Linked DNA regions of Nothobranchius furzeri. The protein of the gene in region 2 binds, or shares a complex with, the protein of the main gene of each other region. Links are inferred from orthologs where the notes say so. Each region holds a gene or a part of one and is shown on either strand. Other genes may lie near its edges. The genes, in order: cnot6l and cnot2.

The links.
Region 1: cnot2 (region 2) and cnot6l share a complex: the UniProt entries of both Homo sapiens proteins name them as parts of the CCR4-NOT complex. The link is inferred for Nothobranchius furzeri from reciprocal best matches to the Homo sapiens genes CNOT2 and CNOT6L.

What each region holds. Positions count from the first base shown.
Region 1 is NC_091750.1:40,060,442-40,072,818, forward strand, and holds the start of cnot6l (CCR4-NOT transcription complex subunit 6-like), read left to right. Parts: upstream 1-6,524; 5' UTR 6,525-6,654; intron 6,655-7,648; 5' UTR 7,649-7,658; coding exon 7,659-7,770; intron 7,771-7,911; coding exon 7,912-8,098; intron 8,099-9,412; coding exon 9,413-9,498; intron 9,499-9,584; coding exon 9,585-9,674; intron 9,675-9,764; coding exon 9,765-9,833; intron 9,834-10,091; coding exon 10,092-10,249; intron 10,250-10,323; coding exon 10,324-10,478; intron 10,479-10,556; coding exon 10,557-10,708; intron 10,709-10,786; coding exon 10,787-11,014; intron 11,015-11,105; coding exon 11,106-11,308; intron 11,309-12,377. Other genes in the region: mrpl1 (large ribosomal subunit protein uL1m), read right to left, coding at 1,932-2,003, 2,686-2,769, 4,059-4,326, 4,454-4,562, 5,989-6,019. UniProt on the Homo sapiens protein: Has 3'-5' poly(A) exoribonuclease activity for synthetic poly(A) RNA substrate.
Region 2 is NC_091744.1:77,734,496-77,746,872, reverse strand, and holds cnot2 (CCR4-NOT transcription complex subunit 2), read right to left. Parts: upstream 7,160-12,377; 5' UTR 7,055-7,159; intron 6,970-7,054; exon of another isoform or gene 6,837-6,969; intron 5,675-6,836; 5' UTR 5,663-5,674; coding exon 5,549-5,662; intron 5,461-5,548; coding exon 5,391-5,460; intron 5,237-5,390; coding exon 5,089-5,236; intron 5,020-5,088; coding exon 4,837-5,019; intron 4,755-4,836; coding exon 4,675-4,754; intron 4,412-4,674; coding exon 4,286-4,411; intron 4,177-4,285; coding exon 4,052-4,176; intron 3,961-4,051; coding exon 3,843-3,960; intron 3,568-3,842; coding exon 3,411-3,567; intron 2,759-3,410; coding exon 2,697-2,758; intron 2,629-2,696; coding exon 2,579-2,628; intron 2,499-2,578; coding exon 2,398-2,498; intron 2,296-2,397; coding exon 2,151-2,295; intron 2,071-2,150; coding exon 1,984-2,070; 3' UTR 1,507-1,983; downstream 1-1,506. Other genes in the region: washc4 (WASH complex subunit 4), read left to right, coding at 1-9; lrrc10 (leucine-rich repeat-containing protein 10), read left to right, coding at 10,187-11,011. UniProt on the Homo sapiens protein: Component of the CCR4-NOT complex which is one of the major cellular mRNA deadenylases and is linked to various cellular processes including bulk mRNA degradation, miRNA-mediated repression, translational repression during translational initiation and general transcription regulation.

The DNA.
Region 1 (12,377 bases), on a different chromosome or scaffold from region 2:
GTACCAGTTTACATCATAGCATACCTCTTAGCCAATAGCGGTGGCAGATTTAAATTCCAATGCAGTGCAGAGTTTTTACCTGACGACGGCGCAACACTGACAGTTTTAGGCAGAATATTTAAATTTTAACTAAGATACACTGAAGTACCAAATTATTGACCACATGTGTCTACAGCACAATTAGACACACATTTATATAGTTTATCAGCAAAAAAAAGTTGATTTGGGGGTGACTTGCTCTTTAATAATGAGCTTTTCAGCCTCCTGATTTTGTGGTTTTACATCATGTTCGTGTAAAACCTTGAGACAGAAAAGGGTAGAATTCCTTCTCCGGGTCAGGATGAGGTCCTGCTCCAGCGGAGGAGTTTAAGCATCTCAGACTGGACGGGTCCTATCAGAGCTATCTACGGGTTCCTGATATCAGAGTTCACTCCACCAGCAGTGACCATCGACCCCCCCCCCCGGATCGAACGAGGACCTCCACACCAAGGGTGCGTAGACTTGGCACGACAGACTGTGTTTGACGCTGTTTTAATAAACAACTCTCTAGTTTATAACAAACAACAAATTCTTTTACACCAGATTTCACAATTTCTCTCAGATACAAAGAACGGTTGCTACTAGGGGTGGGCAATATAAACGATATAAGGTAGAAACGATATAGTTTTTGGCTATATCGCAATACCGCGATATCACGATAACACATGACGTCACTAAGATGTGCACCCTGCTGACATTGGGGCAACAGAATGGCAGTGACTGCAAGCATGGAGTGGGTGGAGGAGGAGGCCTGTATGCCTCAAGTGGCATATATTTGCCACATGAGGATATTTAAAAGCATGTCACTTTGACATATATAAACAGAGGGAAAAACATATCGCAACATATATCGTTACCGCACATGCTTCAGATTATATCGCAATATAGATTTGAGGCCATATCGCCCAGCCCTAGTTGCTACAACATCTAGCTTCCACCACACCACCTCACATTATTCATATCTTGTCATGTATTAATTATTAGTTTAGGAAAAATAATTAAATTAATTTTATAAACTGCATCCTGACTCTGTCTGAATTAATACGAAGTGTGTTTATGGTCCCTGAAGAAGCAAAGAACCCTAGAATCTTCTGGTTAAACATTGGTAAATGATAAATGACCCGCACTTGTATAGAGTAAGGACTCCAAAGCGCTTTACACTACAGTGTATCATTCATCCATTCACACACACATTCACACACATTCAAAGATCAATCAGGTTGATATTTCATACTTATACGGAAAATCACATCTTATTGGTCATAATTAATATGTGTTAATTGCTACAGTTTTTTTTCATTGAAAATAATTTTAAAATGTGGGGTCTCCATATAATCAGGGTCTAACCATTACACGCCCGTAACAGCAGAGGGCGCCAGGCTGAGTATTCTCCACAGGAGTAAAAACTGGAGCCGAGAAGTCCAGAGCAGAGTAGACTTTTAGTGGGGCAAGTTAGCATACTAAGGCAGAGTAACGACGGTGGCCAGTTCAGCAGAGGTGTAAAACATCACATGCATGGATGTACTGGAAGGCAGTGAGGATGATGTTCTGGGAGGAGCCAGCAGGTGTGGGGATGTGATGGTGCACCGGGGACCGCAGCTGCATGAGAGTGTACAGCGAGGCAGAGGGCATCTGAACAAAAGCCTCATCTGACTTTTGATTTCACACGTCAGCAAAGTTCTGATAGTTAGCATTGAAATAGTATTTTTCTCAGTACATGTTCTCAAATTTTATATAAAAATAGTTTATTTAAACAGTGATTTGTTTTTTTTGTCCTTTCCTGAAGATTAGTCTTGGAAAGGGGAGTCGTCTTATATTCGTGTCACTACGGTAATAATTTTTGTGATTGTTTAGAACAGAAATTAAAATTAAAACTTAACTGAAGAACTGACCAGCTGAACGAGCTCGGCTCCTCCAACAATCGTTGCTCCGTTCTCCTGGGCAGCTGTGGCCTGCTTCGGGTCCTGCAGAGATGGAGGGAGGGGTCTTTCAACCTGGCTTAGGTGAATTATCTAAAATAATCACACTATGTGTGACACGTGGTATGAATAGAAATCATTTAATCACAACAGCAGCCGGGGGCAACACCAACAACGGACAAGGGACACGCCCAATTCATCAACAGCAGAAACACACAATCGTGTGTGTGTATATATATATATATATGTATGTATGTATAAACACACACACATATATATACATATATACATATATATATATAAATATATATAGGTATGTGTGTGTATACATACATATATATGTCTGTATATATGTATGTCTGTATATATATATATATATATATATATATATATATATATATAGGTATGTGTGTGTGTATACATACATATATATGTCTGTATAAATGTATGTCTGTATATATATATATATATATATATATATATATATATATATATATATATATATATATATATATATATACACAGACATACATTTATACAGACATATATATGTATGTATACACACACACATACCTATATATATTTATATATATATATATGTATATATGTATATATATGTGTGTGTGTTTATACATACATACATATGTATGTATACATACACACACACACACACACACACACGGCGGTTGCGAAGATGAAGTGCGGGTTGGGAGAGGAAAGTGTTTACCTCGGTGAAAACTAAAACTTTGTTGGGGTCTGTCCTGAAGGGGTGTGGTAAGTGAACGACGCTGACAAACGGGTCGACTTTTTTCTGTGGGAGACAGAAACAGGAAGGATGTTTGTTGTTGTTGTTGTTGGGAACAGTCAGCAAGCTGCAGGAAGATCAAAGCTTGGGAGGAAAACATGAAGGAGGGAACGTCAGTCAAACGCCACACTAGATAATAGCGATGCAACGATACCACTTGTTTCTAAACCGATACTTGGATCTGAGTACTCGCCGATACCGATACAGATACTTCTACCACACAAAAAAATGCAATGAATTGCAATACAGCCTTTATTTTCTTCTCTGTTTTCAATAGGAAAAGACTGTGAGGTAGATAAAAAGTAATATAAGTGATCACAAAACTAAAATATTAGGTGAACAGAAATGACAAGTTACAGTGAAGTCACTTTCAAGCAACTGCATTGGTATCAGTTACTGGTATCTGTTAACTTTTACCGATACTGCATCGGCACCGATACAGATACCGATACCAGTATCGTATCGGTGCATCCCTACTGGATAACGGTTATCTTGCAGCATTTGAAACCTGAATCTCTGTGAAATTGATGACTTCCTACATGTGGGAGCGTTGGCTCTATGGAAACCAATGAGGAGACAGAGATGCTCTCGGAGGACCGTCTGCAGCCCTGTGATGTGTCACAGCGTTTTTAGCTGACTGAACTGCTCAGCGTACAAAGACTCAGACGCCTCAGGGGTCTCATCTATAAAACGTTACTAGAATCCGTACTAAAACCGTACTTCAGCTCAGCAAAAAAAATGTACTTACGCCAAGTAGGTATGCGATCTATAAAACATGGAGTACACACAGCTGCATGCACTCTCCGCTTTCTAAATCACTCTACCTAGAAAGGTTCTTAGCTGTTTCTGAGCCACATCCCACCCTCACCACGCCCACTTTCTGCCATAAATGGTCAATGCAAAGCGTCTTGAGGATCTCATGCATATACATAAGCCGGCTCGCTGCAGCGCTCCACCATTAATGATGGCGACCGCAGATCAAGGAAGTGCTTTTCCACAGACGCAGAAGTTGAGGTACTTGTGGGTGAGGTGGAGGAATGAAAGGAAGTGCTTTTGCTAAACAAATAAGAGAAAATCCACAGAGTGGCACAGCAGTGCTGAAGCCGTCAATGTTGTGAGTTCTTCAGAGAGATCTGTGGCGGATATAAAAAAACTCTGATACGAAAACTCCAAGAAGAACCTTCGAGAAACAAAACTCATCAAAAGCTATGAAGAAAAGAGAATCTGGTCCTCCAGCAGCAGAGAACCAGAGTTCATGTAGAACAACCACAGGTGACTAAAACTTTTACCGTCACCTTTTTCTCCAGTTGCATGTCCAGCTTCAGGTTGACATAAACGGGCTGGTTGGACGGAGTGAAGTCCAACTCCTGGAACCTCTTCAGCATGTCGATGGCAGAAGCTGCACTGTGGACGCTTCTGGGATAAAACTTCTTAATGTACACATCGTCTACGGGAGCCCACGCCGTCTTCCCATAAGGCTTGTGTCTGCCTGTGTCATCGATGACCCTCCACTCTTTCTTCACCTCCTTCTTTGCATCCTCTGACTTGCGTTTCTTTAGCGCCCTGACAATCAGCAGGAGGGGAGTTAGGCCGAGGAAGGATTGGGTCATGCAGAAAAACATATGTATTCAGCAGCAAACACCGACCAGGCTGGCTTGAAGCAAAAAGAAAACACTGGATGTGAACTTACTTAAACGCAGCAAAAGTCCTGATGGGTGAACTCTTCGGTGCGGTCTGCGATGCAGCAGCATAACCCGGAGCGCTGGAACTCAGCAGCTGCCTCCGACATCCTGCTAAAGCTGGATTAAACACACAAGGGTTTATTTACATCTAATCCTGAGATTTAACCTCTGTTTCTGTGTCATCCTCCTAACATGAAACACTTCATATTCTAGCAACTTTTTACACATTTAAAAACTGCATTTCTGAGTAAGTAGCAGCTCAAATGATACAGCAGCTTCTTTGGCTGCCGTACAACGTCTTCTGTTCAAAATAAGGTGTAAATAATAAATCATCAAAGGAACAAAAGACCCCCGGGTCCTGTTTAACTTGAAGCTAAAGCTTGATGAAAGAAGGTTTGATGAGGGTGGCCGCTCGCGCACCTCTCAGAAGCTTGATGTTGGCTCTAAATTCACTCCAACAGCTGAAAAATGCCCTCAAAAATGGACATTTAGGCTCGATTTAAAGTTTTCAAGGTAGCTTCTTGGTTTAAGACCAAGACTACTACCAATCACAGCTTTCTTTTAACATGTAAACAAGTTTTAATTAATTAAAACCTTATAAACGGGTCTAATCTGGACCAGTTTGTTCCATACTGGGTCACCCACTGGATGCAGCTGAGGAGAGGTGTGAAAGGAGGATGCTGGGGAAGATGACCTCCCCCTTAAAAAGCCCCTCCCCGCCCCCACTGTGGAGACCATGGACAGCTCCTTTACAGGCATCCCAGATGTAGAACTGAACGCTACCGTAGGTCATTCATCCCCTCAGCAGCAAGTGTAGGATTCCCCAGTTTAACTGGTACTGGCATTATCCTGGTACACAACACCACCAATGCAATACTCAGTGTGTGTGTTCAATACCAGATGTACGCAGTACGTTCGTGTCTCTTACTGTACGCTGCATAGTTCTGGAAACACATGTTTCCTTTATTTGTTGTTTTTAGTGGTTGGAGGTTACAATAATAGCAGTGGCTCCCCAAAAGGGTGGCCAGGGCCACACCGGAGGAGTAGGGTTACAGGTAACAACTGGTTTGACCATTAACCCCGGTTAACCCACCGTAAACACGTGTCCAACACCACTAAAGGTGTAAAAAGCAGCGCGAGCCGCACGGACAGAGGGGGGTTCAACCATCAGGACTCCTGTGTTTCAGACAGACACGGGAGCCTAGGTGGGATATTTGCCAAAATGATGGTAGTTACATGTGACTGACGGACAGGTGGGTAAACACAGGAGAAGACGCTAGAAAAGTTAGACTTTTTCACCTTCCTGAAAACGATGTGAGCTAAAGTTAATTAGCATAACAGAGGGGCTCCAGTTTGCAACCACACGTTGATGGAAAACATGTTTCCGTAACCTCTGTGAGCGTTTAGGCTCAGGACACACTAACCGGAAACAGATAGCAGGGCAGCTAAAACGCTAATCTACAGAAAATAACCCAACCGGAAACAAAAAAATAACATTCATGAATTTACCGTTTTTCCTGGATGAGAAACTAATTTCACTGACCTTTCCAAGCTGCCCGCGAGCAGGTTGCCATGTCTGCTTCTGGTGGTCCGTTGTCCGTGTAAAAACAGCAGTTCGCTCAATGGTTCCGCACAAACACACATATTTATTTTTAAAAGGTCGGCTCTAACTTAACCAGTTTACATTACAGGAAACCGTTTAAAAACGTTTCTAAAATCTCATCTAATGTTAAAGATTCACTGATTTAAATGATCGAGTTCAGTATTTGTTTTAAGGTGTGATTAGAAGTAAATGTTGATGTTAAAATCGTGTAAAGTGGCAAAATGAATGAATTGCAAGCATAAGATAAACAAATAAAAATAATGCCGAATCTCTGGTTTTTGCATCGGGTTTTTGTCAAATAAAGTGACGTCAGCTACACGTCACAGATGACGAGTTTAACCAGCTAGCACGTGTCCTTCACATGTTTAGTATCAAACTTTAGCGTAATATGTGTCACTTATTAACAATTAATAAATGAGCATATTTGTAAAGTTTCGTTTGGGATTTATGCTAAGAAGCTAGTAGGCGCGTGCACGACCGCGCTCTGGACTGTCGGTAACGAGCGGAAGCCGCGTTTGTTGTTCTTCCTTCTGTTTCCGAGACGTTCAGGGTTGAACCCGCGCCTGCATGTCGCTGCCAGTTCCCTTCTACAGCCCCCGGATGAAGGTAAACACGTTTTGTATCTAGAGCCGGTTCGCCCGGGCGGCTCGGCGCTAAACCAGCTTAGAGCCCGACTCGGTCCTTGTCCGGTCGTGTCCCCCACCCTAAGCCCCTGGAGCCCGGGGAGCATGCGCCCAGCCGCCGCTGGCTGACTTACTCCAGCCCCGTGCTTCGGGAGCGCTGGTCGGTTACCGTGACCGGTCTTTGCTGCATAGGTAAATGTGTCGCTGACATCCGTGGAAGGTGTCGAATCGGAGCGCGTGTTTACCTTGGTGTCAGGTGTGCCAGCAGCTGGTGAGCGGGCCTGTCCTCTTGTCACTTTTGACACCACAGCTATGTTTGGACACTCGTCCCTCAGCTGCCTGAGCAGTTGTCACTGCTGCATACTTTCCAACACACACACACACACACACACACACACACACACACACACACACACACACACACACACACACACACACACACACACACACACACACACACGGCCCTCTTTCAGCTCCTGAGGCAACATGACCTGTTGGAGTTGTGATGGTGTCTGCAGACACTTGTGACCTGCTGCGCCTGAACCCACCTCACCCAAAGGCCCTGAACGTATTTGCTGTAACTCACCATTCTGAAGTAATCAGGCTGTAGATCCACAGGAACGTTTAAAGATGAGGTTCTACGACGATCATCCTACAAGTGCAGGAAGTCCTCTGGATGACTTTTCTTTATGTGGATAACTTCTGATTAAAACTGTAATCACTGATCAAATGTTCTGCTGGTTTGTTCTGGTTTCAGTGGTTTTGTTGCTCCTCAGCAGGTGAAACCTCCTGAGAAAAATGAGCAGTTTGCTTCCGTCATCATTAACTAAAAAACGCCTCGAGCTTTTTTTTAAACCTTTGAGTTTCTTATAAATTGTTCTTCTCTTGTTTTCCACATTTTTTTAGTGCTTGAAATAAAAGTTGGTGTTTTCTTTTACGATTGCCACGATAACTCGTGCTCCTGGTTTGTCCTGCAGATTAACAGGAATGCCAAAGGAGAAATATGACCCCCTAGATCCCCGCAGATGTTACACCATCATGTCAGCTGAGGAGGCGGCTGGTGGGAAGAAGTCTCACTGGGCTGAGCTGGAGATCTCTGGTCAGTCTGCATTTACTTCCAGTAAAACACACTCTGGACGTTATATCCAGAGAAAGTCTTGTCCATGTTTTCAGTGTCGGGGTCAGTTTGGCCCACTGTGTTCAGAAATGTTAGTAAAATGAAGCTCCGCCACCTACACAGGAAGGGTGCGGAGCCTGAGCAGCTCGTTATGGACCCTCACCCACCTGACGGCGCTCCACATCAACGACAACAACCTGACTCGTATCCCACCGGACATCGCCAAGCTGCCCAACCTGGTCTACCTGAACCTGTCATCCAATAAGCTCCGAAGTCTGCCCGCCGAACTGGGCAACATGGTTACTCTCAGGTGGGTGGAGTTCTGACCCCTGACCTTTAACTCAGCTGCAGTGTGGGTGGGGTCGTCCGTCGTGTCCGACAGTTTCAACCGAACTGATGCTAAAGCGGTCATTTAAAACCCTGAATCAGGTGATTAAACCAGTCAGACATGAACACAGGTCAAGGGTGAGAAAGGTGAGACCCTCCCACGTGTGCGTACACACACACACACACACACACACACACACGCACGCACACACACATACGCACACACACACCTGTCTGTAAGGACGGACGTGGGGGGTGCTGCAGTGTGTGTGTGTGTGTGTGTGTCTGTGCATACATACACATAGACACACACACATGCACACACACACACACACATGCACACACACACACACATGCACAGACATACATACACACACATACGCACACATGCACATGCACACACACACATGCACAGACACACATACACACACATACGCACGCACTCACACACACATGCACAGACATACATACACACACATACGCACACATGCACATGCACACATGCACAGACACACACACACACACACACCTGTCTGTAAGGACGGACGTGGGGAGTGCTGCAGTGTGTGTCTGTGTGTGTGTCTGTGTGTCTCTGCATACATACACATAGACACACACACATGCACACACACACACATGCACAGACATACATACACACACATACGCACACATGCACATACACACACACACATGCACAGACACACATACACACACATAGACACACATACGCACGCACGCACTCACACACACATGCACAGACACACATACACACACACACACGCACGCAAACACACACATACACACACACATGCACGCGCGTGCACACACACATGCACGCACACACCCTCCCCAGCCAGCTGAGGTGGCTCGGGCGCCTGGTCAGGACGCCTCCTGGTGAGGTTTTTCGGGCATGTGTATCTAGCGGTGGGATTTGATCAGTTTTTATCAATAACAACAACCTTGTCGATTCTGTCCATCGATCCAGTTCCTTATCAATTCCAGAGAAGTTCAGTAGGTGGGCAAGTGGCTCGGGAGAGGGCAGTGTGGGCCTCCCGACTCGGGCTGCTGCCCCGCGACCCGACTCCGTATGAGCGGATGAAAATGGTTTTAAATGAACAAGTTAAAAATGATGAATAACACGTCATAAACAGATGTTTGAAGTCTGGACTCAAGTTCTGCAAGAACTTCTAAATCAGCAAAACGACATTATAATTCATGTCCTGCGTGACCCTGAACACGAGCGTTAGACGTGAAGGATGCCACCATGAGAGGTTGTTGAAGCTTCTTCTCCTTGCAGGGAATTGCTTTTGAACAACAATCTTCTACGAGTCCTGCCTTATGAACTCGGGCGGCTTTTCCAGCTCCAAACCCTCGGGCTCAAAGGTGAGACGCTCCATCAGCAGCTTAACGGTTATGGATGCTGACTTCATGGATTAGGAGGAGAACTCACCTGTTTGGTTCTGTGGCAGGAAATCCTTTGTCCCAGGACATCCTCAACATCTACCAGGAGCCCGACGGAACCAGAAAGCTTTTGAACTACATGCTCGACAATCTAGCAGGTTCTCCAGCGTTCTAAAGCTGCAGGTGTGTTCTCACAGGTAGGTCCGGATAAACGAGCTCTGATCCGTCATTGTCTTCCCTGTTTCCAGTTCACCCGGAGCAGCTCCCTCAGAGACCGTGGATCACTCTGAAAGAGCGAGACCAGATGATTCCCACAGGTGCGTTTCCATGGAAACCAACCAGCTCACCGAGCACGTTTGATGTTTTTATGCTTTTATTCTATTTTGGTTGAGAAAGCAGAAGATCCATCTCTTTAGGGGGCTGGCCTCGCTTTTAGTTCTCACAATTAAATCTGTCGTTTTCAAAAGATGAAGTCGGAAACTCGTTTGGATTCATATGAAACCCGTCTGAGTCATAAAATAAACCCGAACCGTCGGTGCTTTTCCGGAGTCATTAAGCGAGCGTTTGTGTTCCAGCGGTGTTCACGGTCATGTGCTACAACGTGCTGTGTGACAAGTACGCCACGCGGCAGCTGTACGGCTACTGTCCGTCCTGGGCCTTAAGCTGGGAGTACCGCAAGAAAGGCATCATGGAGGAAATCACCAGCTGTGACGCCGACATCATCAGCCTTCAGGTAAACACGCACAGGCTCCACCTTTTCCTCCGGACTTTCCCGTTAAACGTCCTGATGGAGATCTGCTCCTGCAGGAGGTGGAGACGGAGCAGTACTACACGCTGTTTCTGGAAACGCTACGGGACCGTGGCTACGACGGCTACTTCTGTCCCAAGTCTCGTGCCAAACTGGTTTCGGAGCAGGAGAGGAAGCACGTGGACGGCTGTGCCATCTTCTTCAAGACAGAGAAGTAAGTTCAGGAGCCTCGGAGCGCCGGGAACGCTGCATGGGAACCTGAATCTCTGATGTGGATGTGAACTCTCTGCAGGTTCTCGTTGGTGCAGAAACACACGGTGGAGTTCAATCAGGTGGCCATGGCCAACTCGGAGGGGTCAGAGGTCATGCTGAACAGAGTCATGACCAAAGACAACATCGGAGTGGCTGTTCTACTGGAGGTCAACAAGGACATGTTCTCTGCTGGTAAGGACAGGCAGTCACCGTGACAACCACCTCCAGGTGATTAAAGGACATCTCCTAATTTCCTGTTTGTGTTGTGAGGCATGAAGCCGCCGCAGGAGAGGCAGCTGATCCTGGTGGCCAACGCCCACATGCACTGGGACCCAGAGTTCTCAGACGTCAAGCTGATCCAGACCATGATGTTCCTGTCGGAGCTGAAGAGCATCGCTGAGAGAGCTTCGGACTCTGTTACGACGGGCTCGCCAACCTCCGACCCCTCCTCCATCCCCATCGTTCTGTGTGCTGACCTCAACTCGCTGCCCGACTCCGGTACAGCCGTAGGGAGTTCCGTTGCTCCTCCTACAACCAGAGCTTCTTGATTGTTGCTTTTCCAGTAAAACGCTCCTGTTCTTGGATCCAGGTGTGGTGGAGTACCTGAGCAACGGAGGAGTGGCTGAAAACCACAAGGACTTTAAGGAGCTGCGCTACAACGAGTGTCTGACCAACTTCAGCTGCAACGGCAAGAACGGGAACTCCAGCGGCAGCATCACACACAGCTTCCAGCTGAAGAGCGCCTACGACAGCAACCTGATGCCTTACACCAACTACACGTATGACTTCAAGGTACCCAACGTCCTCTTGGTTCTTCTATCTTCTCCTGGTCCTACCATGTCCATGTTCTCCTGGTTCTACCGTGTCCTCTTGGTTCTTCTACGTTCTCCTGGTTCTACCGTGCCCTCTTGGTTCTTCTACGTTCTCCTGGTTCTACCGTGCCCTCTTGGTTCTTCTACATTCCCCTGGTTCTACCGTGTCCTCTTGGTTCTTCTACATTCTCCTGGTTCTACCGTGTCCTCTTGGGTCTTCTACATTCTCCTGGTTCTACCGTGTCCTCTTGGTTCTTCTACTTTCTCCTGGTTCTACCGTGCCCTCTTGGTTCTTCTACGTTCTCCTGGTTCTACCGTGCCCTCTTGGTTCTTCTACATTCCCCTGGTTCTACCGTGTCCTCTTGGTTCTTCTACATTCTCCTGGTTCTACCGTGTCCTCTTGGTTCTTCTACATTCTCCTGGTTCTACCGTGTCCTCTTGGGTCTTCTACGTTCTCCTGGTTCTACCGTGTCCTCTTGGTTCTTCTCTATTCTCCTGGTTCTACCGTGTCCTCTTGGTTCTTCTACATTCTCCTGGTTCTACCGTGTCCTCTTGGGTCTTCTACGTTCTCCTGGTTCTACCGTGTCCTCTTGGTTCTTCTACATTTTCCTGGCTCTACCGTGTCCTCTTGGGTCTTCTACGTTCTCCTGGTTCTACCGTGTCCTCTTGGTTCTTCTACATTGCCCTAGTTCTACCGTGTCCTCTTGGTTCTTCTACGTTCTCCTGGTTCTACCGTGTCCTCTTGGTTCTTCTACGTTCCCCTGGTTCTACTGTGTTCTCTTGGTTCTTCTACATTCTCCTGGTTCTACCGTGTCCTCTTGGTTCTTCTACATTCTCCTGGTTCTACCGTGTTCTCTTGGTTCTTCTACGTTCTCCTGGTTCTACCGTGTCCTCTTGGTTCTTCTACGTTCTCCTGGTTCTACCGTGTCCTCTTGGTTCTTCTATGTTCTCCTGGTTCTACCGTGTCCTCTTGGTTCTTCTACGTTCTCCTGGTTCTACCGTGTCCTCTTGGTTCTTCTACATTCTCCTGGTTCTACCGTGTCCTCTTG
Region 2 (12,377 bases):
TCCAAGTGAAAACCTTCCCTTCTGACTGGATCAGAACTATTAAAGTGTTGCCGGGTAAAAATCAGCCTGCAGCTAAAGCAACACAAACTGCACAAAAGATTTCAGGATGAAGAACTGGAGAGCGCCCAGAGAAGCTGCTGGGTGTTTTTATATCCCACAAAGTCATCTCCAGAGAAGATTGTAGTTTAGTTATCAGCTGCAATATCTGCTATTTTGTAAAGTTCCACTTCTGTAGCAAATCGTTTAAGGTTTGCCTGAATGTTTTCCTAATATTTTATGTTTGTGCCAAATGTAAGTGCTGTTTCTTTTAACATTTTAAACACTGAATAAATGTGGGTGCCTTATGAACTGTGCATCATTTTGATCATTCGACTTAACTGTACTCTAAAGTTAAAGATGGTTAAGTTTTAGTTTTCTGCTGCTTTGGAGCCTTTTAATATATTTCTTTGAATGTGTGGAAACATTAACTTTGTCATTAAACCTTTTTATTCGTAACAAAAACGTCCTCGTTTTTTTTTTTTTTTTTTTTTTTAGCGACCTGAGAATTTTGTGTCGAGAATGTTGTTGAAATTTGGTTCGTTTGTGAAAATGCAGCTTTTAAAAAATAACACCGGTCTAATGAATGTAAAATATCTGCATAGTGGTCGTGATTTAGCTCATAAATAAAAAAAAAACTTTAAAATCTCAAAAGTAATAAACATGACACGGTGGTTCAGGAAAGCCTGTTCTGCTTTAATACAAAGAAAAGAAGCGTTTCACTTAAAATAATACAAGATTGGGTTTATTTTTTCCTTTTTTTTAGCAAATTGCCAGTTTATCATTTCCCTATGAAATGTCCTCGTTCATGTCTGTTCAGGTTAAATTGAAATGCATCCCTTTTACTTTTAACTTTTTTTTTTTGCCAAATGTTGAGAAGTCGGCCTTTCCATGAAGGAGTTTGTTTTTAGGTAAGTATGGCGCCAAACGGCAGCAGATCCAGAACATTTCTGTTACATCCACATTTTCTTTTCCATGTTCATCTCATTAAAAAAACCGAGGTACAAGGCAGGGCTTTTTTTTTCTCCAAAATAGATGTCATATATATATATACACATACATATATATATATAGCAATCATATATACACATTCATACATACATGTACTAATTTGTGTGATGCAAAGAACAAAAATGTACACTTTTCTTACAAAATCGTAACAAAGACTGGAAAGTGTTTGTTTGCTCTTGAGCAAAGTTGGTGTTAAAGTTCAGCCGCGGCGAGAAATCCTCCACAAATGTAGACTCTCGTATTTCTGTCCTTGTTTGGTCGGCACAGAAGTCAAAAGACGGAGACGAACGGAGAAAGAAGGAACAGAAAAATGGTTGGTAGTGCAAATACAGACGCTGGAGAAACGATGGATACAGACAGAGGGCTAAAAAAGATGGAATTAAAAGGACTGCATGAGGGAATGATGCGTAAACTCAAGAAATACAGAAAGAAGGGGAAAGAAAAAACACTCGGGGAGTGTTCATATAAAAAAGCACAAAAAATTTTGTGTTCTTTTATTACTAAATATAGTGCAACAATAAACATTGCATTTCTTTCACCCCTTCACTTGTGTATGAGAATGCTAACAGCCTTGTTTTCCACCTGCTTGTGTTCTTAACACTTGCTGTAAATAAGAGGTGGAACCTCTGTTCTGTCCCCGTCCCGTGCCACAAAGTTAGTCCTCCTCGCCGAGAGGACGCAGGCTTCTGATTCAGAGACGTAAACAAAACACAGACCCTGCTCAAAACAAGAGAAAGGAAAAAAAACAAAACAACCTGAAACACAGAGTAATAAAAACGGAACAAGTGTTTTGGGGTAGAATTTAAGTTCAGAAAGGCAGGACAGCTTTAATGGTGATCACAACCCCTGCAGTCTAACAGCCAAATCCTGGAGGAATAAAAACCACAGCGCCGGTGCTGGGCGTCAGCTCTGTGTGCAGGAACAGCTGCTTGGGCCTCAGAAGGCCTGCTGGGCTGGATTGTAGTTGAACGTCGTCGGAACGTGAGGCCTCTCTTCTAGCTTGTCGTACTCCAGATGAAATTCCTGAGAGATTTGGGCAGAGTTTAGACTAATCCACAACCAGTACAAAAAAAAAAAAACACTCTCAACTTAGCAGGTCTTACCTTGGCAACTTTCCTCCAGTTAAGACAATCAAAGAAGTAGTAGGTGCCCCTCTCGTAGGTGTTGGTCTTGAGTGTGGGCTCCATGCCGGGTGCTCTTGTTATCCAAACCCGCTCCTCTTTGTGGTACCTCCAGTCCCGATTAAAGCTGGAGACGGGAGAGTAAGAGAATCCGGATTCAGTCCCTGAGAACATCACATCTCCTGATCCCTCTCGTTTTGGATGTTCGGTGTAATAAAGGCCTACTTACAGCTCTACTGCTGCCAGGATCTGTAGTAGATCGCCACCATTCATGTAGTACAGGTAGAACAGCAGGTCTTCACCATACCGGGCCAACTTAATCGCCGCCAACTAGAGACAAGACGGTAAGGAATGTTAGTTTAATGCTAATAAAAGTGTAAAAGTGCTATAGTCGTGCAGCTGTGCATCACCTTGTCCCTTATATGAATGTTGGTCAGATACTCCGAAGGAACGTGGAAGTCTGGAAGCACAGGTACAAGTTACGCTGTTTGCCTTTTGAGTTAAAGCGGCACTGACAATCTGTCTTACCGATGTCCTGAGGTCGACATGGTGACGAGGCCCAGGGAGAGGCAAACTTGGGGTACAAGTTTCTATTGAAGAGAGAAGGCTTAAAATCAGGAGAAGCACACATCCTTAAAAACAAAAACACTTTGCTCTGGACCCCCAAAGCTTGGTTTACGCTTGACGCATTCACTTTCCACGCGGTGATGCGGCTCGCGGATGGAACGCGCTTCACAACTCGCAGCGTGTATGGTTCATGCGGCTTGTCTCTGCGGTGAGCCAATATTCTCCCAAACTGAACGGAGCAGCGTGGAGCTCTAGGCATGCATCCAATACTACACCATAGAAGTAAAAATTACTGTTTACAACATGGCATTCCAGCATTTTTAACAGCGTCCTCGTCTTTTCCGACAGTGCGAGCTATTTCTCTCCAAGAATTTTTAACAACATGTTGATCACGGTGATCTCTGAGAGCTGAATCATACAAATGTCTGTATTTACGAACCTCTGCCATACTAGTTCTTGCCGGTCCGCCATGTTTTTCCGCGTCCGTCCGTCCACGTGGTTAGAAATTTTCCGAGGTGCGCGTTGCGGAAATCTTGACCCGTGCGGAGACGCGGTGGAGGGGCGTGGTTGTTAAAATGACGCAACTTCTCCGCGCGTAGTCGTACGGACCTCGCGGACGCGTCAAGCATAAACCAACCTTAAAGGCGAGCGTTTCTGTGGAGGAACAGCTCTTACTCTGGTGAGTTGAGATTGAGTCCCAGCGTGGTGAGGTCATTTCCTAGCGCCAGATGGACCAACCCCGGATCGGTCTCCGCTGCTCGTATAAACGTCAGCAGACCGATCATCCCAAACTGATCCGTCACCATTCCTGAGGGAATGTTGGTAACCCGACCTGCAGCGGCAGAACCATCCAGACTCAGTAAACCACACATCTACCGATGGACTCTGATCTACAGCAAATACTCACTGTGGAACCAAATCCTTATTTCTAGACTCATTTGTGCACACATCGCAGAGCAAACAATTACACCGTCTCATAGTAGCTTATCCAATACTGATTTAACCCAAAATACAGGGGAGAGAGCCCAACTGCCTCACCCAAGCTGTGTGATTAAGAAGGGATGTCTCAGAGGAACTGGAGCGATACGATTGGCTGTGAAGTCTCACCATCTGGTAACACCTTGATGCCTTTCTTCTGGTTGTTGTTCTGTGCGGAGGCCGTCTTGTCTCCGGGGAACTTGGGCCCATCTGTGCTGGACGTGCTCTTGTTTGTGGAGTTCAAGTTCTAAAAACGGAGAAGAGAAACATAAAACTCTGCGGGAAAGGTTCCTGATCGGCGCCCCGACACAAACGCAGAAACGAGAATGCTCACTTACAGTTTTACTGTCGTCGTTGTTCAGTGTGGTGTCCTTATAGTTCGACCCAGGCAGCGCAGGAAAGTCCTCGTTATGGATGGAGAAATCTTGTGTCTGTTCAGTTGATGGCTTTGTCACCATGCCAACTTAACGATTTCCCAGAGTAAAACAGTCACATAAGTGACAGCACAACTCCAACAGAAGCAACTAGTTCCACTGCTGAGATGACAAATCTTTAGGGGATAATTGGCTTACCGTATGGAGCACGTCCAGCTAGCGGGTTGGACACCGGTGTTGGATTTCCCGTCCCTTCCCGTCGACTCCTGTCTGCTAATGCGGGGAAGTCTGACAGATCCAGTCCCATCACGCTGTCGCTCCCATCTGCAACAGCATGTTAACACACTCTCTATAGTAATACGTACTAATCGCTACTGCAGCAAATAAAAACCATACATTTTGTCTTTAAGATTGATAAAATGCATACATTTATTCTTTTGTTTTCATTTTTGTGCTGCTCAGATTTAAAACCAGACTTTAACATAAACACATTCTACTGCAGAGCCAGCAGTTGTTCACTAACTCCACTGCAACATGAAGCTCCGTGACACTTTGCAGCCTTTCGAAATTCAAAAGAAACTACCCACCTGTGCCGTTGAAGATGTTGCTTGCTAACGCGTTGTTCATCCCAAACGCCTGATTGCGGTTCATACCAAACCCTGACATGCTGCACGGAGAAGATAAAAGACCGGTTCTTCAGCCGGTGTCCACAGAGGGATGTTGATAAACGTAAGGATTTTAAAATCTACCTGCTTATGGTGCACAGCTGACGTGACGGCTGCTGTTTGGGCATACAGATGATGCTAGGTGAGCTGCGGTTGGGGCTCCCGAGTCCTGAGCTGCTCATACTATTGGTCCTGCTGCTCAGCCCGATGCCTTGACCAACCTGAGAGTGATTTAGTATGTTCCTGGAACTCATCGGTAACGTGCCTCTGCAAAAACACATTTAAGAATGAACATTTTGTTGCAATTTTACAATTATTAGTAGCAGAAACACAAACCTGCTCGGCGACGGCGGGGTATGGAGTGACATGGTGGGGACGCCTGTTGTTGGGGTGATATGACTTGGTAGCTGCGACCCTTGCGTGAGATTTCGGTTTAACTGAGGTGTGCTGTTTCCCAAGCTTCTAACGGGGAAGCCAATTGCACCTGGACAAAAAAAAGAACCAAGTTAATCCAAAATAATATTAAATAATCCAGACAGAATTCTTTGCATTGTATGATCAGTCCACGTCTACTACTGATCTGTAACAAATGTGAAACTAGTTCATTCTGTGGTACAAATAGAACAGCAAATACTAACTTTGTGGACCGTACAAACTTGGACCGAGCTGTGACAGCTGACCAGACGACGGTGAAGGAGAAGACAGTATCTGGACAATAAGATTCACAAACAAGAAAAATAATCAGAAAAACTCCCCATCAGATAACATGACCACACAGAAATATGACGAGACTTACATCTTTGTCGGATCGATGTGGGAACATCGACCCCTGGCTGTAATACATTTCATCTGGGAAGTCATTGTCGACGGCCTCGACGAACTCTGGAAATTTCTTTCTAGCACCAAACATGCCTTTTGTCACCTAAAGAATGAGGGAACTTTAGTAAAGGTGGAGACTAAAGGGGGCAAAATAAATGAGACAAGATCATCGAATTAACAACTGGAGTTTGGAGGCCAGATTAACTTCTCAAACTCATTTTTTAAGATATTCCTGAGCCCTGTTTGTCGATCTCTTTCTCTGGCAAGCCACGGCAACTTGGGCGCTGCTCCAGCCCAGAAGACTGTGGTAAATAATACTCAGCTTTTCAGACACACTTAGGTTTTCAAATCACAACATCACAAAACAAACAGAAAATTAATTTTAAGCAGAAACCACCACAAAACAAGTATGTTTCCTGTTAGGCTGTGGCAGACTTTCCATTAACCTTTTACATGTGCTTTTGAAGAACAGTCTTTCAACTTTTTGTGAAGTTTTTCAAAGTTTGGCTTTAGATTTTTATTATTTTTCCCAGTATTTTTTTTCTTACATGACCATTACACTAAAAAACAAGAGAAGCTGAGTAGAAATAAATCTCAAGGCTTAAAATCTACACCTGATAACTAACGTCCAAAAGTCACGTCTTTTTATAAATAAGAACTTTTCAACTAATAGGAGGCTGGGAATCGCTTAGGAGGAATTCAAATATAAATTTAAACTGCCATCTTGATCATTTTTGAAGATCTTAAATACAAAATATAGAAAACTGTTTCGTTTTGATGGGACACGGAGACAGATGTGGCTCAAAAACAAACAATAATTAACGGAAAGTGATCAACTACGCCGACTCAATAAGGCTAGGTGGATTATGAGTGAAAAAGCAATTAATGTTCAATAAGAAAATTCAGAAAGGTTTACGAAATTGTCCTCAAATCTAATTTATTACATAGATGACATTTGAAAAACACTGACATATATAAATGTTGGAGAAATTAAACAATAGTTTAGTTTTTAGCCCAGGTGGTTATTAACTTTCATTTGACAGCTGAATTTGTTGTAATATTCATGAAAACTTAGTGGGAGTGAAAACTATAACAGCAATGCTAACATGTTAGTTAGCCGAAACTAAGTAGCTAACGTTAACATGCTAGGTGTTTTGTTAGCTTAGTTTCAGTTTGTGAACGAGCCACTTTAACCGTGAGAATAGTGGAAGCGTTTACGTTACAAATCACCACGATTTAACGATCCAGCAGCAGTCTGTATTTACCTGCAATAGTCTCTGTGTTTCTATATCTACAGTCAGTTGTCCGTGTTATCGGCTACGCTCCGTTTGCAAGCACCTGCAGCGTTAGCAACCCGCTGATGCTAAAGGCTAACGAGCTGCCACGGATCAAAACGAGAGAAACCCAGCTCAAAGCTCCAGTCGAGAGGTCACGTTTATACAACACCATCCGACAAGACTGATAATAAGTAAAATAGGCTCACCGCATCAATTTCCCTTCGCTTCGTTAGATCCAAGATGGCTGTGTGTACTTCCAGTGGAAAGAGCCTTTACCCTCTGACCCTGCTGACCACTTCCGTACACAAACCCGAGCCGGCTGCTGGTGTCCTCAACCATACACATGTAAATGAACATACGTTTATATATATCTATGTCTTCAACGAGCGATCGCATCTAAAATCACAAATATTCTAATAATGATGAAGATTTTACAGGGAAAAAAAGAAAAAAATACAAATACTGGATTTGACTGTGATGTGTTTTCTGTTACAATTAGAGTGAAATGTTAATTTAACCTTTAAAATAGCATATAAAGTAAAAAAAAATTAACAAATAGAGCCATCTGTAATAAAATTATGTGTGATTATCGGTATTCCTTTTTCACCTTCTTGCAAAATTGCACGTGTTTGTAATTTAATTGCATTTGACTCATTTTGACCAAAAATGTAATCAGTTATAAAAGAAAAGAAAGGTTTCTTTTACCCTGAAGTCTCATTAAATCCTCACTCACACATATAGGGAAAGAAGAAGTTTCTCCCTCTTGGCCTTTTTCCCATCCTTTGGTTTATAAATCTATTATTTAAACAGATACTTGAACTAAACATTATAAACTACATTATTTGAGAATTGTGTTTTATATCTGAACAACTCTGAGTTTTAGTCTTTTTTGCCCTAATAATTCTCAGCTGCTTGTTGACAATTTTTCCCCCTAAAAACTAATTTATTTTTGTTGTTAAATGCAGTAAAAATCATTACTGTTGAACTAATAGTTTATTACCTCACTCCCACTTTGGACAATAAAAGAGCTGCATAGTTCTGAACAAGAACGTCTCTAAAACACTATATAATGTATTAATTCATTGTTTTGCCAAATAATTAAATCAGATAAACTCTAAACACCTCAAAGTATTACACCTTATGTAAGTATAAATAAAGAATAAAGAAAGGTTATTATTAAATTATTTCACTTGAATGCTTATATTCTGATTTGAAGTTTGTATATTTTGTATATTTAAACTTTGAGTGAAATAAAGAATTGAATTGAAAAAAAAATTAAGGAAGATTTACAGGCCTTTTAGACATTTGTTTAATCATAGATTTTATGCTTTTCTAATTCGCCCAAATTAATAAAGCCTTATTATGTTAAAAACGCAAGCATTGTTGCAGGAAATTAACATCTAATTAGGGTTAGAAACAGAATTATCTTTCAGTTGTAGATGTTGATGATTCCTGGTGTTTACAGAAGTTGCACGTTTCACAAAAAAAGGTTTAAAATATGTATTTTAACAGTAATTTGAGGAGAAATGCCATTAATATAATATATTTGTACTGGAATGATCTTAAAATATCATATATATATAACAGTCTGATGTGCAACATTTAAATGTGGTACTCATGCAGTATAGTTGTAATTATAAATGAAAAAGCATGCAAAGCGGGCTGAAGTGACTACTGCACCAAACTCCCTGTTGGTAAATGAGAACAAAAGTATGGTCATAACTAACTTAACTGCATTAAATGGTTTTCCTGAGTGGATAAAGTTCAGTTTGGTCCTCCCACTGAGTTATTATGGGAAGCCTTTTGGGGATTAAGTGGAAGCAGGGAAGTGCTATAAGCAGGGTGCCGGTGAGTGAAAGCAGATGGGGTCAAGTATTGGCCTCTCTGATAAGGAAAATGAAATTCCTTTCCATTTTATCTTGCTGGAAAATAGCCCTAATGAAAGTGTGTGAGATTGCATGAGCAGATCACACCTCAGGAAGGCAGGGCTGACATGCACGACGACACACGATGAGCTGTTACTCTCAGAAGAAGAAAGAAGAAGAAAAAACCTTCAACTGACGTTGAGCCTCTCAACCAGAGAAATGCACATTATCAGCATTTGGCAGGTTTTCAAAATGTCTCAAATGATCAGAATCAATATAATTTATTAATGAATACAAATTGTTTGTGATAAAACTCAAATTCAAACAAAAATCCACCTTTGTTTTCTTTGCTAAATGTTTTCTGGCACTCAAAGAGTCACCAAAAGCAAAGTAAGCTCATCAAACAGGCAGGAGCACAAACTCGGAAGTGAATTCACTCTGATCCGTGCAGAACATAAATTACATTAGCTTCATTTTATGGCATTTCTGTTGAAAAGCACAGGGCCCCTCCTCATCTCTCTCCACCACTTGTGTCATTCTGGAGAAGGGGGGAAAGTCATTAGGCACAAATGGGGAGGAGAGAGCTGGTGGTTGCCATGAAAGTCAGGGCAGAGCTCCACACCACTGAGAGATAGCAGAGGACACCACCAGGGAGTGTCTGCTCCGGGAGGACAATATGCATTCAGCCCATTAAGTACAATAAACAATAAATGACTGCTGGAGATGCTGAGAGGCACGGATATGAACAGAAAGATCCTGGAAAGTAGGTTTTCCATTTCTTTTTTTCTTCTTAAATAAAATATTTCTATAATAATTTAAAAACCTTAACTCAAAAAGGATTTAATCAGATTTTAATCACATCAAAACTGTACCAAATTATTTTATTTATGTAGTTTTGTTACTAAAATTAATATAGAAATAATAAAAGTTTTGCTGCACAGTGGTGCAGTGGTTAGTGCTGCTGCCTTGGTCTCGCTGCAAGGAGTTTGCATGTTCTCCCTGTGCAAGCGTGAGACCTCTCCAGGTTGATTGGTCTCTTTAAGTTGTCCGTAGGTGTGTGTGTGTGTGTGTGTGTGTGTGTGTGTGTGTGTGTGTGTGTGTGTGTGTGTGTGTGTGTGTGTGTGTGTGTGTGTGTGTGTGTGTGTGTGTGTGTCTATGTTTCTCTGTGATGGACTGGCAGCCTGTCTAGGGTGTACCCCGCCTGTTTGCACAAAGACAGCTGGAGATAGGCACCAGTCCTCCAGCGACCCTGCGTGGATAAGTGGGAAAAGAAAATGGATGGATGGATAATAAAAGTTGTGAAGTGTTGCTAATTTCCTTTTTTTCTTTGTTTCTTTTACTTTGATAGAAATAGACTGAATGTGGAGACGGATTAATGGCTCACTATGAAACTCACATAAAGCCTCCAACAGCTTGATCGGGTGCGTTTGTCTCACACTCCTGTAAAGTTGTGTGTGAAGGGAACTGGGAAGGATGGGAAACGCCGTGCGGGGCGTCATCGCCTTCATTCCCTCCGAACGCTGTCAGCGCTTCCTGGTGGGCCATCTGAAAGAGATGCCGCTGGACCGAACTCTGGATCTGAGCAGCCACCAGCTGCGCCAGCTGCCTGCTGCTGCTTGTGTCTTCGATGAGCTGGTGAAGCTCTACCTGAGTGACAACAACCTGAGCAGCTTGCCTGCTGAGCTGCAGGGCCTGAGGAAGCTGCAGCTCCTGGCTCTTGACTTCAACTGTTTCGAGGAGCTCCCAGCAGCTGTATGCAGGTTGCCCCAGCTCAGCATCCTCTACCTGGGCAACAACAAGCTGCACTATCTTCCCAAACAACTGAGTGAGCTCAGGGAACTTACGACTCTGTGGCTGGAGACAAACTGCTTCACCGATTTCCCTGAGGTTGTTTGTGAGCTCACGAATCTGAAGACCCTTCACCTCGGTTATAACCAGATCCGCATGCTGCCAAACAATATACAACAGCTGGAGGAACTGCGAAGTATCTGGCTTGCTGGGAACCTCCTGACAGAGTTTCCGCCAGTATTACTAGAAATGCACTTTCTGGCTGTTATTGATGTGGACCGAAACAGAATACGCCAGTTTCCAAGCCTGTCCCACATGAGCGGCTTAAAACTTATCATATACGACCACAACCCCTGCATTAATGCCCCGACGGTGGGCGACGGGGTCAGGAGGGTCGGGCGCTGGGCCGACAGCTCAGATGATGACCTGGAAGACGATGCGACTAAAGCAGTGAGTGAGATCACAGATGAGGTGGTAGATGTCCAATCTGAGGAGAAGCAGAATGACTAAGAGCCAAATGATGAAGTCCGTCACTTCAGTGGCGTCCTGGACAGGAAACAGTCGCGGTGTAGCGTTAGTGAAGACAGAACGCAGCAGGTGCAGGACAGATTTCTCAAAGTATTTGACATTATTTTGCAAGTATTATGAAAATTTGTAAAAGCAAGTTTGTGTTGTAGTTAATAAACTCAGTAAAGTGTTTTCAGGACTCGTTCACACTCTTTTGAGCCTTGTTCCTTCCATCATCATAGAGAAAAAGACCCCAGCGACATGATCTCAGCTCACGTCTCCTTTTGCGGAGATGAGAATGAGACTAAAGGAGTTTCAAGTCTTCAGAGTCTGAAACAGCTGCAGCACCTGCCGAGGCTAAAAACAGTTAGGTTTTTAATACCAGTGATGGATGGCCCAAGTCACCGAGTGCACTCCTTATCCAGACAAATGCATAATTCATCTGATAAATGAGGGGTATGGTTTTGAATAAAGACCACTAATGGGCCTTAATATCATCACCAAAAGCTTTTGGTTTGAAATAGATAATGAATGCAGTGCTGTGGCTCCCCTGTGTACCAGCAAAAGGCTATAACAGGAGTAAGTGCCATTCAGCAGGATGCCATCTGAGACGTTTTAACAAAAGCCAAGAAAATACATTAAAAGCAAGAATCTGTTTTTTCTTTATCTTTAAGTTTAAGGATTTAAAAAGAATCATTTTTGTACGCTCATAAAAATAAAAATAAACGCAACACCTTTGTTTCTGCTCCGATTTTTCATGAGATGGACTTAAAGATCTAAAATTCATTCCAGATACACAATATTACCATTTCTCTCAAACATTGTTCACAAATCAGTCTAAATGTGTGATAGTGAGCATCTGTGCTTTGCTGAGATAATCCATCCCACCTCACAGGTGTGACACATCAAGATGCTGATCTGACATCATGAGTAGTGCACAGGTGTACCTTATACTGCCCACAATAAAAGGCCACCCTGGAATGTGTAGTTTTGTCTCACAGCAAAATGCCACAGATGCCACAAGCATTGAGGGAGCGTGCAATTGGCACGCTGACAGCAGGAATGTCAACCAGACCTGTTGCTCGTGCATTGAATGTTCATTTCTCCACCATAAGCCATCTCAAAAGGTGTTTCAGAAAATATGGCAGTACATCCAACCGGCCTCACAACTGCAGACGACGTGTAACCACACCAGCCCAGGACCTCCACGTCCAGCAGGTTCTCCTCAAAGATCGTATGAGACCAGCCACTCAGACAGCTGCTGAAATAATTGGTTTGCATAACCAAACAATTTCTGCACAAACTGTCAGAAACCGTCTCAGGGATGCTCAACTGCATGCTCGTCGTCCTCATCGGGATCATTACCTGA